Xenopus tropicalis: one gene and its partners. The protein of the gene in region 1 purifies or fractionates together with the protein of each later gene. This does not show direct contact. Links are inferred from orthologs where the notes say so. Each region holds a gene or a part of one and is shown on either strand. Other genes may lie near its edges.

Region 1 (4,140 bases):
TTAGAATAAGTTGCCCAATTAATCCACGAGTATCAAAGCATAGGATTAATCTATCCTGTAAATGATGACAGCAGAAATGCAAAGTACATTGCATGCAAGAATTAACCATAAAATGTCTCACCTCATCCATATCTTGAACTTGAGTATCTTGGTCCATCTGAGAGGAGGAATCCTCTGCTTTGTTGTTCTTCACTTCATCCTCATCATCAGATTCCACTTCCATCTCTACCTCCTCACTCTCACCAAACTTCTCATAGCGCTCCTGGATAAGTATTCGAGCCCCTAGCTCTTCTGGAGTGGTTGGAGGTGGGAAGTTACCTGTAAAAGGCAAATATTTTCATAAAACTTATTATACGGTAGAAGGGTTCAGACTCACTTGCACAAAGACTATAAAATATGGTAAGACTCCTTGTCCTACTGATTCATACTGTATTCAACTATATCTACTTATCTGTGGTATTATCCAATTTTAAAAACCCAGACACAAAGTAACTAGCACAGTAATTTACCCAAGGTGTTTTTGCAGGGCACATCTCCCAGCACTTTTTGGGAACCACCAAACTCCCCTCTCCTGCATGCAATTCTCTTGCTGTGATACAAAACGGTTTGCAAAAGTCGGCAGAGGCAGTGTATTTACAGCAGCACACAGTCCAATTAGCTTCTATAAAACCTGTTCTATTACAGCAACAGGGTGGGGGAAAAGAACAAGTTTTTTCCCCACCCACCCATTTTTTCCTAGGGATGAATGCTGTAGTTGTACTTTCTACAGCTAATTAGGAAAGGGAAAATATATCTCTATTCAAATGCACTTGTTGCATTACCTTGCTCATTTGGTTGGAAGTCCACAGTTTCCACTACCACAAAATCATGCCAGTCTATTTGTGCATAGGCAACACGTTCTCTCTCTTTCTCTTCTTCCTCTTTTTTCTTCTCTCTTTCCTGAAACTTTGCCCACTCCACACGATAACGCACCTACTTATAGAGTACACAAAACATTTGTGAGAAGAAAAGGCAGAAGGTAGAGGCACATAGACAATTATTGCAAAATGTTGATAGCTGCATTGTTTTATACTAACAAAAGGCTAAACTAGGTAAACTTATTCGAATTATTTACTAATACATCACATAGGCATTTGTAGTTAGGGCTCTGCAGTCAACTTCTTCCACATCCATTTAAAGGAGATGGCAAGGAAAATTTTATAAATGGTACCAATGCATAGTCCCAGTATAGATAAAGAAAAACACTACACTTTGGGCTCAATTATAGTAAGAGAAACTTATAAAATCTTACCCGAAAGTTTCAGTGTTATCTAAGGTTTGGCGCGGCCATCTTTGAATTTGTATGCCCACTTCCTCTCCTTTGGCGTATTTACTGCGCATGCGCGAGCTTCCTCCCTCCCCCCAGCCTAGGTGCTCCTTGAATGAATGAACGCCGCCGGAGGCTTCTGCTTACGGCGCGTCGCCATAGCAACGAGACGCTTGCTAGTGCACGCTTCTAGGGGCCGGCTCAAGAGATCTGATTGCAGGGAGTGCGCCTGCTTGTGCGCCCCCAGAGAAGAGACAACTGCGCATGTGCCGTTTCGGTTGCAAGTCCTGAAGTCTGGCAATCAGCGAGGGATTATGGGAACTTTCTGCACACAGCTCCTAGCTTTTATATCCGTTTTGGCTTATCTTCTTGTAATCCATGGAGATATGGGGAGACTTAAGGGCACCTTTCAGACTACGGATGGTAAGCCTCCAGCCTGAGATTAACTCTTGTGTAGCCTTTCCTTCTCCTTTAATCAACTGATTCTGCACAGACTTTGCTTTGAGCATGCAGAAACAGGAAAGGGCCCTCCCCAAAGTGTTGCCAAAAGGTAGGAAGCATAGCGTCAAAAATTGCACTGTATGTAGAAGAATTCTAGTTTGTTTTTACTAGAATCTGGGTTCCTACTCCAAACTACTTTTTTTTGTTGTTATTTTACTCCACCAAACTAAACAAAAGCATTAAACATTTAGGCAGGTAGCATTTTCCTGGCTGCCAGACTGTGAACTAAGGTTCATTACACATTTAACACATTTACACTGCTCCAGAGCCCAATGGCAGCAACCTTAAAGGAACAGTAACATCAAAAAATTAAAGTGTTTTAAAGTAATTCAAATATAATGTGCTGCTGTTCTGCAAAAAACTGGTGTTTTTGCTACAGAAAAGCTACTATATAAATAAGCTGCTGTGTAGCCATGGGGGCAGCCATTCAAGCTGGAAAAAAGGAGAAAAGGCACAGGTTACATAGCAGATAACTAGTAGATAAGCCCCATATAATGGGGGTTTATCTGTTATCTGCTAAAAAACCTGTGCCTTTGCTCCTTTGAATGGCTGCCCCTGTGGCTACACAGCAGCTAACTTATATAAACTATAGTAGTCTTTCTGAGGCAAACACACCAGTTGTAGCAATGCAGGGCAACAGTACATTATATTGTAATTACTTTTATACACTTATTTTTTGGTGTTACTGTTCCTTTAACATCACTCTAGCCAATGTCTGGCATTGTGGAAGGTGTTAGGTTAATCTGCATTTACTTACAAAAAAAAAATAATCCTTGAACCAATGCTGCTTTTAGAGAACACTGGACAGTTAGGTTAATAACATAATTGGCAAAGTGATAGCTTTGCAAGGTTAGCTTTTACATACTCTAAATTGCATTTAAGACTTAAGGAGCAACTACATTGCTATAAATAAAAAAATAACTTGCTACTTACTGAATAAGCAGCCTTAAAGGACATGTAAACCTCACACACACAAATTTAATCAGTGAACATCCTCTTGGAAATCTTTCAATACCTGCTACTCTGGTTGTCCAGAGGTTAATAAGGTTAGTAAGGCTGCAACATCCCCTAAATAACTAAGATTTCCTTCTCCTCCTGTAAGCCACTCGGTCCCCTCCCTCAGGAATTTGCTTTGACTTTTCATTGACTTCTGGCTTGTGGGCATGTTTAGTTGTTCTAAACTCAGATTACTAAACACGCCCTCCAGTCTAGCAGCCAGTGAAGAGATGGCACTGCTGGTTTCCATAGAAACTCAGCTCTAGCTTTCTGCTTCAATTTTTTTCTCCTAACTTTCTCTCCTGAACTCAGTCCAAACAAAGTAGAACTTTTATCAGACAGTTCTGCCTATGTGAGGCTGCATTCTTGATGAAATGTAAGCTGAATAAGGGTCCCAGGGTGAAAGCTGCTATTTGCTTTACGAAAATGTGATGGTGCTGGCAAACGGATGGGATATATGCAGTACAAATAATGCCATTTGGGTGAAAGAGACGTGCCCAACTTAGGCTTTATGTGTCCTTTAAAACAGAAAGTATACTTGGAGCCAACATAAAGACTGTAGAGTAATCAACAAAAGTTCTAATTTACAGAAATGCAGGTAGAATATATTAGAAGGCAGAGGGTTGCATTACCTGATCCAATACTTCTGTTGGGTTTTCAGCTTCTTTCTTTAGCTTTACAAGTAATCCTTTTGGTGGTATCAGGATCTGAAAGAAAGAGATTACCAGAGGGATATCAGGGGCACAGTGCACGAGAGCCATCTCTACTTAGAGCCTATAAATGACAATATTGACAGTGCAGCTTAAAGGGGGTACTAAAACCTGCTGCACTGCACTGCTAAACCAAAGTTTACTTAGCTGTTTTTGGACTACAAATCCCAGAACAATAACATATAATGAAGTTTGTGGCATGCTAGGAGTTGTAGTCCAGCACAATCAGGGTTGCATTTTTAAAGCAATAGAACTTTTTCTAATCCTTTCTCCATATCTCCAGTGCCAGCAGCTGCATTAACATGCAAAAAATCTACCAATTAGAATCCCAGCTAATCTTTGTAAATCTGGCTCCCTGTTCTTTTCAAGATGCCTGGCATAGTGCTGGGAACCAGTGTTCTCGGTCTCTTTTCTTGCACTTATGAGGTTTTTTTAGTCAGTAAAATGCTCATTGGTGGATTTTCTTGCATCCAAAATTACGTTTTTTGACAATTTAGCAAAACTAGGGGGAGCAGGGGGACAGTATTATTATTGGGTTTACAACCCCTTTAAAAGATAGTTAATACTTGTTAACAGCTGCATTTTAGTTGCTCATAAAAATATTCAGCCACTCATTTTATACAATAT
Region 2 (4,607 bases), on another chromosome or scaffold:
ACAATCATCAATATTAAAACAAGAAAAGGCTTGAACTACTTCAGTTGTGTGTAATGAATCTAAAATATATGAAAGTCTAATGTTTATCAGTACATTACAGAAAATAATGAACTTTATCACAATATGCTAATTTTTTGAAAAGGACCTGTATGTGAAACAAGGTCTCCAGTGTAAGCATTACTTACAATACAATTGGTTAACTACAAAACTACAGCCAATTGCTCACTATAGGCAGGATGCTAGCCAAATAGTTACAGTAAGGGCAAAAGCAAAACATGCCAGACTTGGAAAAGACCGGCTATTCTGTAGGTTCTAAGTTATATTTTTATTAAGGTTTTTTGTGGACAATTTCCACTCCATAATTTTGCCCTGCAATACTGAAATATGACAAGGGTGTTTTTATGCAACTACGACAGTGTACAACAGTTATATTTTGTGCAATACTTACTGGTTAAACAGCATAGATAGCATTAGCTCATTTGTTTCCTCTGGAAGGTTGGTGAGGAAGAGGATGTGGTTAGGTGGGTTTTCAGAAATCTAAAAAAAAATAAAAAACAGCATTCAAAGTTATGACTGAAAAACTCAGACACAGGCAGTTTCTGTGGACAGCTCTTGAAAGACACCAGGTTTATTGGGAGTTGCCAGTATATTAAAGGAGATGTATCCTATAAAAATAATGAATGTACCAGTGAATTTTACTCCTCTAGATATAGAAGGATTGCGCTTAAAAAAGTTGTGCTTCTGGCAGGGACCATTAGGAAACGCCCACTCTTCATTTTAAACATGGTCAGAAGAGAGGATCTATAGGGAGCTCCAATAAAGGGGCCATTTTTACAGATTGGATTAATTTTAAGCACAAAGGGAAACCAGCACCATATATTATTCATAATTGCCTACAATATTAGGGTTTTCCCCATTTATCCAATATGTCTCCTTTAAGCACCGCACCCCCTCCCCCGAAAGCTGCAAAGAATAGTTAAGCTAGCAGACATCAGGTACTCTTTATAAAAGCTAGCGAGACTATCACCCACAGACAGATCTGGTGATGTAGTCTAACTTACTGGCTGCATGGGTGCCATCTGCCCAGGCATCAGGTGTCCATGGGGCATGCCTCCTGGTGGGATCTGTCCTGGTGCCATCCCTGGTGGTGGCATCATACCAGGGTGATGCATGTAGGGTGCCTGCCCAGCCATATGCATCATGCGTGGAGCTTGAGTCATACCAGGTATATTTTGCATGCCCTAAAAAATAAATAAAATTATGGCTGTGCACAACATAACGGGTTTCTTTCAAGAAAAAAAAAAAATTGTATGTATTTACCGCCATCTGTCCTGGAACGCCTGGAAGCAACGCAGCACCTGGTAAAGCCTTTTTAACACCCGGAGCTTCCTGGCCTTTCACCTTCCTCTTCTCCTGCCTCTTTCTGTCTCTTTCCACATAGGTACCTTTCATTTTGGCAATGATGTCAGAATCGGATTTTGAATATTGTATTCTCTGGAGTAAAAGCAAAATCAGCATAAAGACTAAAATAACCAAGTTTTAATGGAATGGGAGGAGATACTGTATGGAAACTGAACAGAATGTATCCACCACCACCCTACCCAACTTGGCTTTATAGTTCTTTTTTTCTAAAGAAATAATGAGCACAGATAAACAAACAAGCCATATATTTAATTGCACTGGGTGTGGGATTCCTTTAGCAACAATGTGCACAGCTATCCATGCAAACTACCTAAGCAGATGTAAACTCCCACACATTCACAAGTATTAACCCAGGAGCCCTGTAAAAATATTATGAAGGATGGTTATTGAAGATGTTATTAACTTATGTACAATATCCTTTTCAATATGGGAGTGCATAGTTTCTTCTCAACCCCTCAATGAAAATTAGCATACACCCCAAATATGCACGTACAAAGGTATGTTTACTTTATAGGCAGGGGGATTTGGAAAATTGTTTCTAGTCCTTTAATCTGCCAGTAAGATGGTATATACACCCATGTCCTTTCATATAAATATATGGGTCATTCCACTGTCACTGACCATTTTTCCATAAAGTGTCAGATATCATTCATGTCTCTATAACCATAGACTTATCCTAAAAGAACACTTTGAAGTAAAGTAAATGAAAAATGGGAAAAAAACTACAATAAATACTAACCATTGGTTTATCATAAAAGGGAAACCCCTGCATTGACCTCAGAGCATTTGTGGCACTGCTTATTTCTTTAAATATAACAAAAGCCTGTCCTCTCATCTTCAGGCTGCGAGACACCAAGATATCCAGAATCTGACCAAACTGTGAGAATATGGCATAAAGAGACTTCTTTAGCTCTAAAGAGAAGAAAGCAAAAGTCAAATCTTTGGATTTTCAAAGACCAAGTAATTCTAAATAGCACTAAATTGCAGTAATGTAAACACTGGTACAGAGATTTAGGTTGCGCTCCAGGGATTGCTACAGCCTTAACTCACCATCTTTTTTAATTTTCTCATTCAGGTTGTTGATGTAGATTGTGTTATTAGGCCTGACTTCTTGAACAGCCATACTTCCTCAACAACTTAATCTGAAGGGAGAAAAAAAGGGTTAATTGCATCTTAAAATAGAACAATGCCCTGGTATAGTCTGTACATAAGCCCAGTTATGTATGAGCAGAGTGTGCATATAATATACCAGTGCCTATACTACACGCAGACTTATTTACTTGTGCAAACTAAGGTCTACAATATATTTTCCTTTGCGAGCCATATAGTAGTAACATAGTATTATTAGTATTATCAACACCCAGATCATAACAAAACTACACAGCCCCTGACACAGCCATGCAAAGAACACAGGGTAACATTAAAGTTGAAATATCACAGCCGGGACCTGATTGTGAGAGGCCCGTAGTTGTTGTGGCACAGCTAGGAAGCGGGAAGATATAACAATGAACGGGACGGAAGCATACTTACCCTCAGCCTGGATATGATACAGTTAAAAGGGCCGCCAAATTAAACGCTGGGCTTGTGCTACGATACGAATACGGTACGCTGGAAAAGAAATAAACTTCCCGGATGGAACGTACAATAGCAGGAAATATTTCAAGATAGCAACGCAAGTCGCATGCACTAAAACCCAATGTGATTAACTGAGATTGCCGCCACCGGAAGGCCTTGTACCTAAATTCATTCAACGCCCAATTTACGTCTAACTTAGGCCGCGTTGCTACAGCAACTCTCGACGTCTTGCAGGTATATCATTGGTGACCTACCCAAATCTTCATCGATTGGCTGCAAGCCATAAGTGAAAGCCATTTCACCCTATAGCAATAACCCAAAGCAAGCCGCGCGACCAATGAAATCGGAGGCCGAGGCGTAGAACGCGGTGCAGCTGCTAATATATTCCTCCCGGAAACAGGAAACGGACTCCTGCGGCATACGTGACTATATTGTTTTGCTATTGTTGTAGGTGTTCGTGAATATGATTTCATGGCGTTTATAGCTTAGGTGATAGTTTTCAAGATACTATCGTTGGCAATTAAAATGAATAAATTAACCTGTACAGATGAACAAGGGGATACATATATGGTTTAGTACACACGTGGTCAAAGAATGTTTCCGAACTGAAGCCGGATCTGGTAGTTTTTTTCACCAACATGCTATAAAGTACGGTGTCAGATCTTGTTTACAACCTGTAGCTAAATCTGCAATGTAAGGTTTAGAAACGACATATTCCTCAGCGTCTCGGAAAATGTTTAATCTCTCACACAATCCCTCCCAGTAGCAACACAATTTCATCTCCGTGCAATGGCATTACTAGAATTACAGGGACCCAAAGTCAAGTCTTTTTAGAACCCCAAATTTGTATTAAAATGATCTGTTTAATGCGCCTGTAATAAAATAGATTTTCAGTTAGGACTTCCTTGGGGAGTTGATACAATGACCTGTTGCTTTGAATTGCTAGGAAGTGACACCCACAGTTCAGGGTCAGAGTAGAGAATTTAGCAAGGTCAAGATCTATTTTTACAGTAACCAGACCAGGGGCAATGGGTCACTGCAATAGCTTGCATTTTGCACCCCAGTTCTGTCCAAAGGCTGCAAAAAGGTGTTCATAGCACAATTTGCAGGGGCAGGTATAGAGACTGAATTTGCTACTTGAACTGCAAAGCTCAGAATCCTCCTTGCAAGATATTTGCTTGGAATTGTATATTTGCCATAGTTCTGGTGACAATATTTTGATATCCACTACTGAGGCCTAAATATCACATACTAATAGAATGTGGGCTATATAGTCTTTGCCTATATATTGCAAAGTATACTATATAATAATGCTTGAGGAACCCACAGACTCCAGACTGCTCTTCCCTGTACTAATTGCCAGTGTAGTAGTCTGGTTATGAGTAGTAAAGTATCTGGAGTCAGCTTCAGTTTTCTGGTCATTATTATTATTTATATAGCACCATCCCTTTACAGAGATTATACATCACCACATTAGTTCCTGCCACAGTGAAGCTAACAATTCACACACAGCAGGACCAGTTTTATCAGGAGCCAGTTAACCTGTGTGTATATTCGAGTGTGGGAGGAAACCTACACAGACAAGGAGAACATACAACTTCTTGCAAAAC
Region 3 (4,778 bases), on another chromosome or scaffold:
AAAGGAAATGTGCAATATTAGGCATCTAGGCATGTTGTTTCCCATGTTAGGGAAGTTGTAAATCCTTGCCTAGCATTTGTACAGGATAGATATAAGCTTTAATGTCTATTTCAATGTCAGTTAAGAGCCACTGTAATGTATTAGTTATGTAGACAGTAGGCCCTGACTGACAATCTGTAGATTCTGCCAAATGCCAGAGTGGCTGCTGTAAGATGCCACAGACAATTACTAGGCCTGTGGGGGCACGGTTAGTAATTTGTACAATTTCAATTGTAATGCCAGGGCCTATTTTCATTTTCAGTCTCAGCCTTGTACACAATGTCATATACATTATAATGCAATCCTCCCTGAATGAATGTAGTAATGCAGCAGTTTACCTTTAACAAAATACAGCCCAGAAAATATGCAGACTTGGCTAATTATAAAAGCTAAAACAGACGTATTACCTTTGAGGTTTGCTATTTAGTGGTATATTCTGTATAAATATTTTGTTCTGGAAACACAAGACAGTGAGGTACAAGCATAAGCAACTGTGTAAAAGATGAAAATAGCTAGTGGACAGACAACACAGGGCAGATAGGTAGGTGCTAGTTAAGGGATCAAAAATCCCAAAAGAGAGTTAGAAAATAAATAACACCCGTGAGAATATGGTACTGATGCTGTAAGTACCTTCATACAAAAAAATGTGTTTTCATTAGGAATAACTTTTAATAAATGCCTAGTAATTTATATATTAAAAAAAAAAAAACACACACCTCTGGTGATCAAACAACACTTCCTTAAAATTAAAATATACAATCTCCAACTGTAAAGGGGATATAAACACAAAAATAAAAAAATCTTCTTAATGAAAGAAACTGATGTTCTAAGGAACTTTCCAAGACGCAATTATTACTTTTATAACATAAAAATCATTTCACAAAATGTAGCCTTTGTCTGTTCCAATTGCAACTACTCAGCTCTTCTCAACTGTTTATCAGTTGGCTTCTGCTACATTGTTACAAAAAAGCAAGCATCATGTCACCACTCTCTTCTTTCTTTGGCAGGTGCACATGTGCAACAGAATGAAATGCCAAACTTAAAGCAAAAAGCTCTTTATTTTTTACTCCAAGGGCTGTGACAGACAGGGAGATTAGTTGCCGCGAGACAAATCTCCCTTGTCATGGACGACTAATCTCCCCGAAATGCCATCCCACCGGCTAGAATGTAAATCGCCGATGGGATGGCATACGCGGCACCGCAATTTGCCGAAGTCGTGGACGTTTCCTCTCAAGGCAACTTCGGCAAATCGCAGCACCGCTTATGCCATCCCACCGGTGATTTACATTCTAGCAGGTGGGATGGCATTAATATCTGGGGTGTGCCTAACATTTTGCCGCTCGGGATACAAACACAATCATTTTCACCACACACCTGTATAAATATCACATCCACTGCTCTGGTGGTGCAAGCCTTCCATAGGACTGGCAGGTCCCTGTCTCCAGCAAATAGTATTGTAAGGGAGCCGCTCACACACAACGATATATGCCGTTGGGGAGCTTACCCCATTTATTGTGCCCACCTAGATCAATGGTTTTTTTGGGGAGGGGGTTCAGGACATACGTCCCATCCAGGCACAAGGAGGGTGTAGCCCCCGAAACATTGATCTAGGTGGTCACAATAAATGGGGTAAGCTCTGTTACAATACTGTGCCATCCCCCAGAGATTTTAACTTTCCTTCTCCTTTAAACAAGACCCTTCCTGAGCATTAAAATCTAATAACAACCTTGTTTTTCTTGAGAGAATCCAAGGATAAATGGCAAATTCTGCATTATGATGTTCAGCATAGGGCTGATGAATTCATAACAGGGCCAGAGTTATCATTCGAGCTCTTAGAATAAAAAAGGCAGGTACGTACAAGACATGCTTACAAAGCATGAAGGCGATAAGTAACTGGAAGCAAGGAGTTTTTGGTTGAAAGGGTACCTGTGCAATCCCCGTGGATCGAATGCAAATATTCCCGCCTCCTCTCACTCCCTAAACTATACAACGCATTCAACCAAACTGAAAAATTTCTTTTACGCATCCTATTACATTGTGTCAACATTCAGCAGTGCAAATTATTATTCTTACTTTAGTTGCCGTGTATGTATCGTTTCCCAAAATGTCTGCCACCACCGTCGCAGTTGTTACGTAACAATATTTGTCCGTCGCATTCTTTAATACGTCATACGCCCTACCCTCTCACCGCGCTTATATGCGACGGTCCGATTCCTACAGATCCGGAGGTTGGCTCAGACTATGTTCTAAATGTTGTTGGGTTTTTTCTGTTGTCTGAAATAATGCGGAAAAGAATTCAAATTGCTCACCATTACATTTTGTTTTGACAAACGATACGGTTATCCGGAAGTGTTTGACGCCCCCATATAACTATAGATAAGGAGAAGTATAAATAAATACAATAAGGAAATGATGAATGTAGTTATTGTAATTGCGATTCCCCAAAAAAGTGGGAACTAACATTTATTTTGGTAGCTGAAGTACACTTAGTAAAAGTGGCATAGCAATGCTAATGTCTTCTATATCTGATGGGTAAATGATACTTCAGTTGTGTTTTGCAGTGGTGGAAGCTGCCAAGGGCAAACTATTTAATGGTGTCCCATTAAAAGTATATATTCATTGACTGGATGGAGGTGAACATGCAGGAAACGCAGAACTCCTGTGTGAGCCAAGAGCTGCAAATATCCTGTAAATGATATCCTTATAAACAGTACTTAGTGATGAATCAGATATAATCAGCGCTCAGTGATGTAATCTCATGAGTTACTGGAACTTATGTATTATAATAAATAATGCACCCCCTGTTGTAATATATATCACCTTGGAGTTACATGACCTGTATTAAAAAAATCGCTATACATATTTAGAAATATCAAAACTTTCTAGTTTTACTAACAGTGGAAAAAAAGATTTTTTATAATTAGATACCATGTCAAAGCACAATCCACTCACCAGGATTCTAAGAAAATGAAAATGTGGAGCCTAATTCCTGCTAGGGGGGAAAGTAGTGTTGGTGGAGCTTATAAATCAGACATACAGACTTACTCATGTAAGCACAGGTTCAACCATTGGCACATACATAGATTTAGTAAGATATACACATGGCACTGACAGCACTGCACTAATTGTATTTCGGCTCCTCCTCTCTGGAACAGTACTAACCTCTGTGATTTAGCAGAAAACATTGTGCATATTGGCTGAGCAGCCTTATTAGTGCCCAAAATCTTGAGAACCTGTAGCAAATTTCCCAGGGACTGAGGGCATGTAGGGCTTGTTGCCCCTCAGTAACTCTGCCTAAATATAAAGGTTATATTTTCTCAATTGATATTTGCTCTCTACCCATTTAAAGGAGAAGGAAAGGCTAATAAAGAGTTAATCTCTAGCTGCAGGCATACCTTCAGTTCTTTCAATAGTGCCCTTAAAGGAACAGTAACTCCAAAAAATGAAAGTGTATAAAAGTAACTAAAATATAATGTGCTGCTGCCCTGCACTGGTAAAAGTTGTGTGTTTACTTCAGAAAGTCTACTATAATTTATATAAATAAGCTGCTGTGTAGTATGGGGGAAGCCATTCAAAGGAGAAAAGGCACAGGCACAAAGCAGATAACGGATAAAACACTATTGTATTCTACAGAACTTATCTGTTATTTGCTATGTAACCTGTGCCTTTTCTCCTTTTTTCCAGCTTGAATGGCTGCCCCCGTGGCTACACAGCAGCTTATTATATAAATTATAGTAGTGTTACTGTAGCAAACACACCAGTTTTACCAGTGCAGGGCAACAGTGCATTATATTTTTATTACTTTAAAGTTCTTTTATTTTTTGGTGTTACTGTTCCTTTAAGTCTCCCTATATTTCTCCCATTCAGATGATCAGAACACTGAGCTCTGTAAAGAAGGTTCCCATAATGCCTCACTTCTTAATCTCAAGCTGCAGGCATACCTTCAGCTGTCTCAATAGTGCCCTTAAGTCTCCCCATATTTCACCTGTTCAGAAGATCAGAAGCCAAACAGGAAGAAAAAGCACTGAGCTCTGTAAAGAAGGTTCCCATAATGCCTCACTCATGCAGCAAGACCAAGACCGGTGTACATGCTCAGTTTGTAAGACTATGAGGAAGCTTCCTGCTGATTGGCTCAGATCCACATTCCTAAGGGGGGGGGAGAGAGTTCTTAGCATTCTTGAGGGAGGGGGGAGCAGGAGAGAGCTGCGTGTCTCTGGCACAGGAAAACAAACAGACAAGAAATCCTGTATCTTTTGAAAGAGAAGTCAGTGCAGCGTTTCTGTATTATGTCTCCTTTCCCCTTCCCAGTTCATCCGCTTGTTGGTGTCTTTTTCCACTAACATTGGAGTTTTTTCCCTGCTAAGATAATGGGCAGAATTTGTCTAAAAATCAACCAGTGCAGATTGTAGAGCAAATTGTAATTTTCTCTGCTAGCCTCTCCCTGTCACTTCTCTCTTGTTCTTTCCCAGTTCATACATCATATCGCCTTGTACACTCGATTTGTCCACATAATGTGGGCTTCTCTGAGACCTTTCAGTCCTGCTATAACCTTTATTTTATTTTTCTTTCTTTGACTCCACTTTTAAATAAAACTGCCTCACTTATAGCAAGAAAGGCAATGAGTACGGACATCCCAGGCACATTATATACACTGAGATGCAGTCTGTATTTACAAAACCAGCACATTATATGCAGTGAGATGCAGTGGGTACTGATGGCATACATTCAGGCCCTCGCAC

Evidence for each region.
Region 2: the proteins of sf3a1 (region 1) and snrpa fractionate together in Homo sapiens (co-fractionation; 3 studies listed by BioGRID and IntAct, with this or other methods). This does not show direct contact. The link is inferred for Xenopus tropicalis from reciprocal best matches to the Homo sapiens genes SF3A1 and SNRPA.
Region 3: the proteins of sf3a1 (region 1) and sart1 fractionate together in Homo sapiens (co-fractionation; 3 studies listed by BioGRID and IntAct, with this or other methods). This does not show direct contact. The link is inferred for Xenopus tropicalis from reciprocal best matches to the Homo sapiens genes SF3A1 and SART1.

Annotation. Positions count from the first base shown.
Region 1 is NC_030677.2:144,342,142-144,346,281, reverse strand, and holds part of sf3a1 (splicing factor 3A subunit 1), read right to left. Parts: intron 3,511-4,140; coding exon 3,436-3,510; intron 973-3,435; coding exon 822-972; intron 319-821; coding exon 122-318; intron 1-121. UniProt on the Homo sapiens protein: Component of the 17S U2 SnRNP complex of the spliceosome, a large ribonucleoprotein complex that removes introns from transcribed pre-mRNAs.
Region 2 is NC_030684.2:78,498,105-78,502,711, reverse strand, and holds the start of snrpa (U1 small nuclear ribonucleoprotein A), read right to left. Parts: upstream 3,187-4,607; 5' UTR 2,953-3,186; intron 2,892-2,952; exon of another isoform or gene 2,870-2,891; intron 2,565-2,869; 5' UTR 2,546-2,564; coding exon 2,473-2,545; intron 2,335-2,472; coding exon 2,162-2,334; intron 1,495-2,161; coding exon 1,321-1,494; intron 1,242-1,320; coding exon 1,062-1,241; intron 538-1,061; coding exon 449-537; intron 1-448. Other genes in the region: UPF0692 protein C19orf54 homolog, read left to right, coding at 3,545-3,617. UniProt on the Homo sapiens protein: Component of the spliceosomal U1 snRNP, which is essential for recognition of the pre-mRNA 5' splice-site and the subsequent assembly of the spliceosome. U1 snRNP is the first snRNP to interact with pre-mRNA.
Region 3 is NC_030680.2:38,861,563-38,866,340, reverse strand, and holds the start of sart1 (U4/U6.U5 tri-snRNP-associated protein 1), read right to left. Parts: upstream 3,187-4,778; 5' UTR 3,119-3,186; intron 2,314-3,118; 5' UTR 2,113-2,313; intron 2,053-2,112; exon of another isoform or gene 1,966-2,052; intron 1-1,965. UniProt on the Homo sapiens protein: Plays a role in mRNA splicing as a component of the U4/U6-U5 tri-snRNP, one of the building blocks of the spliceosome. May also bind to DNA.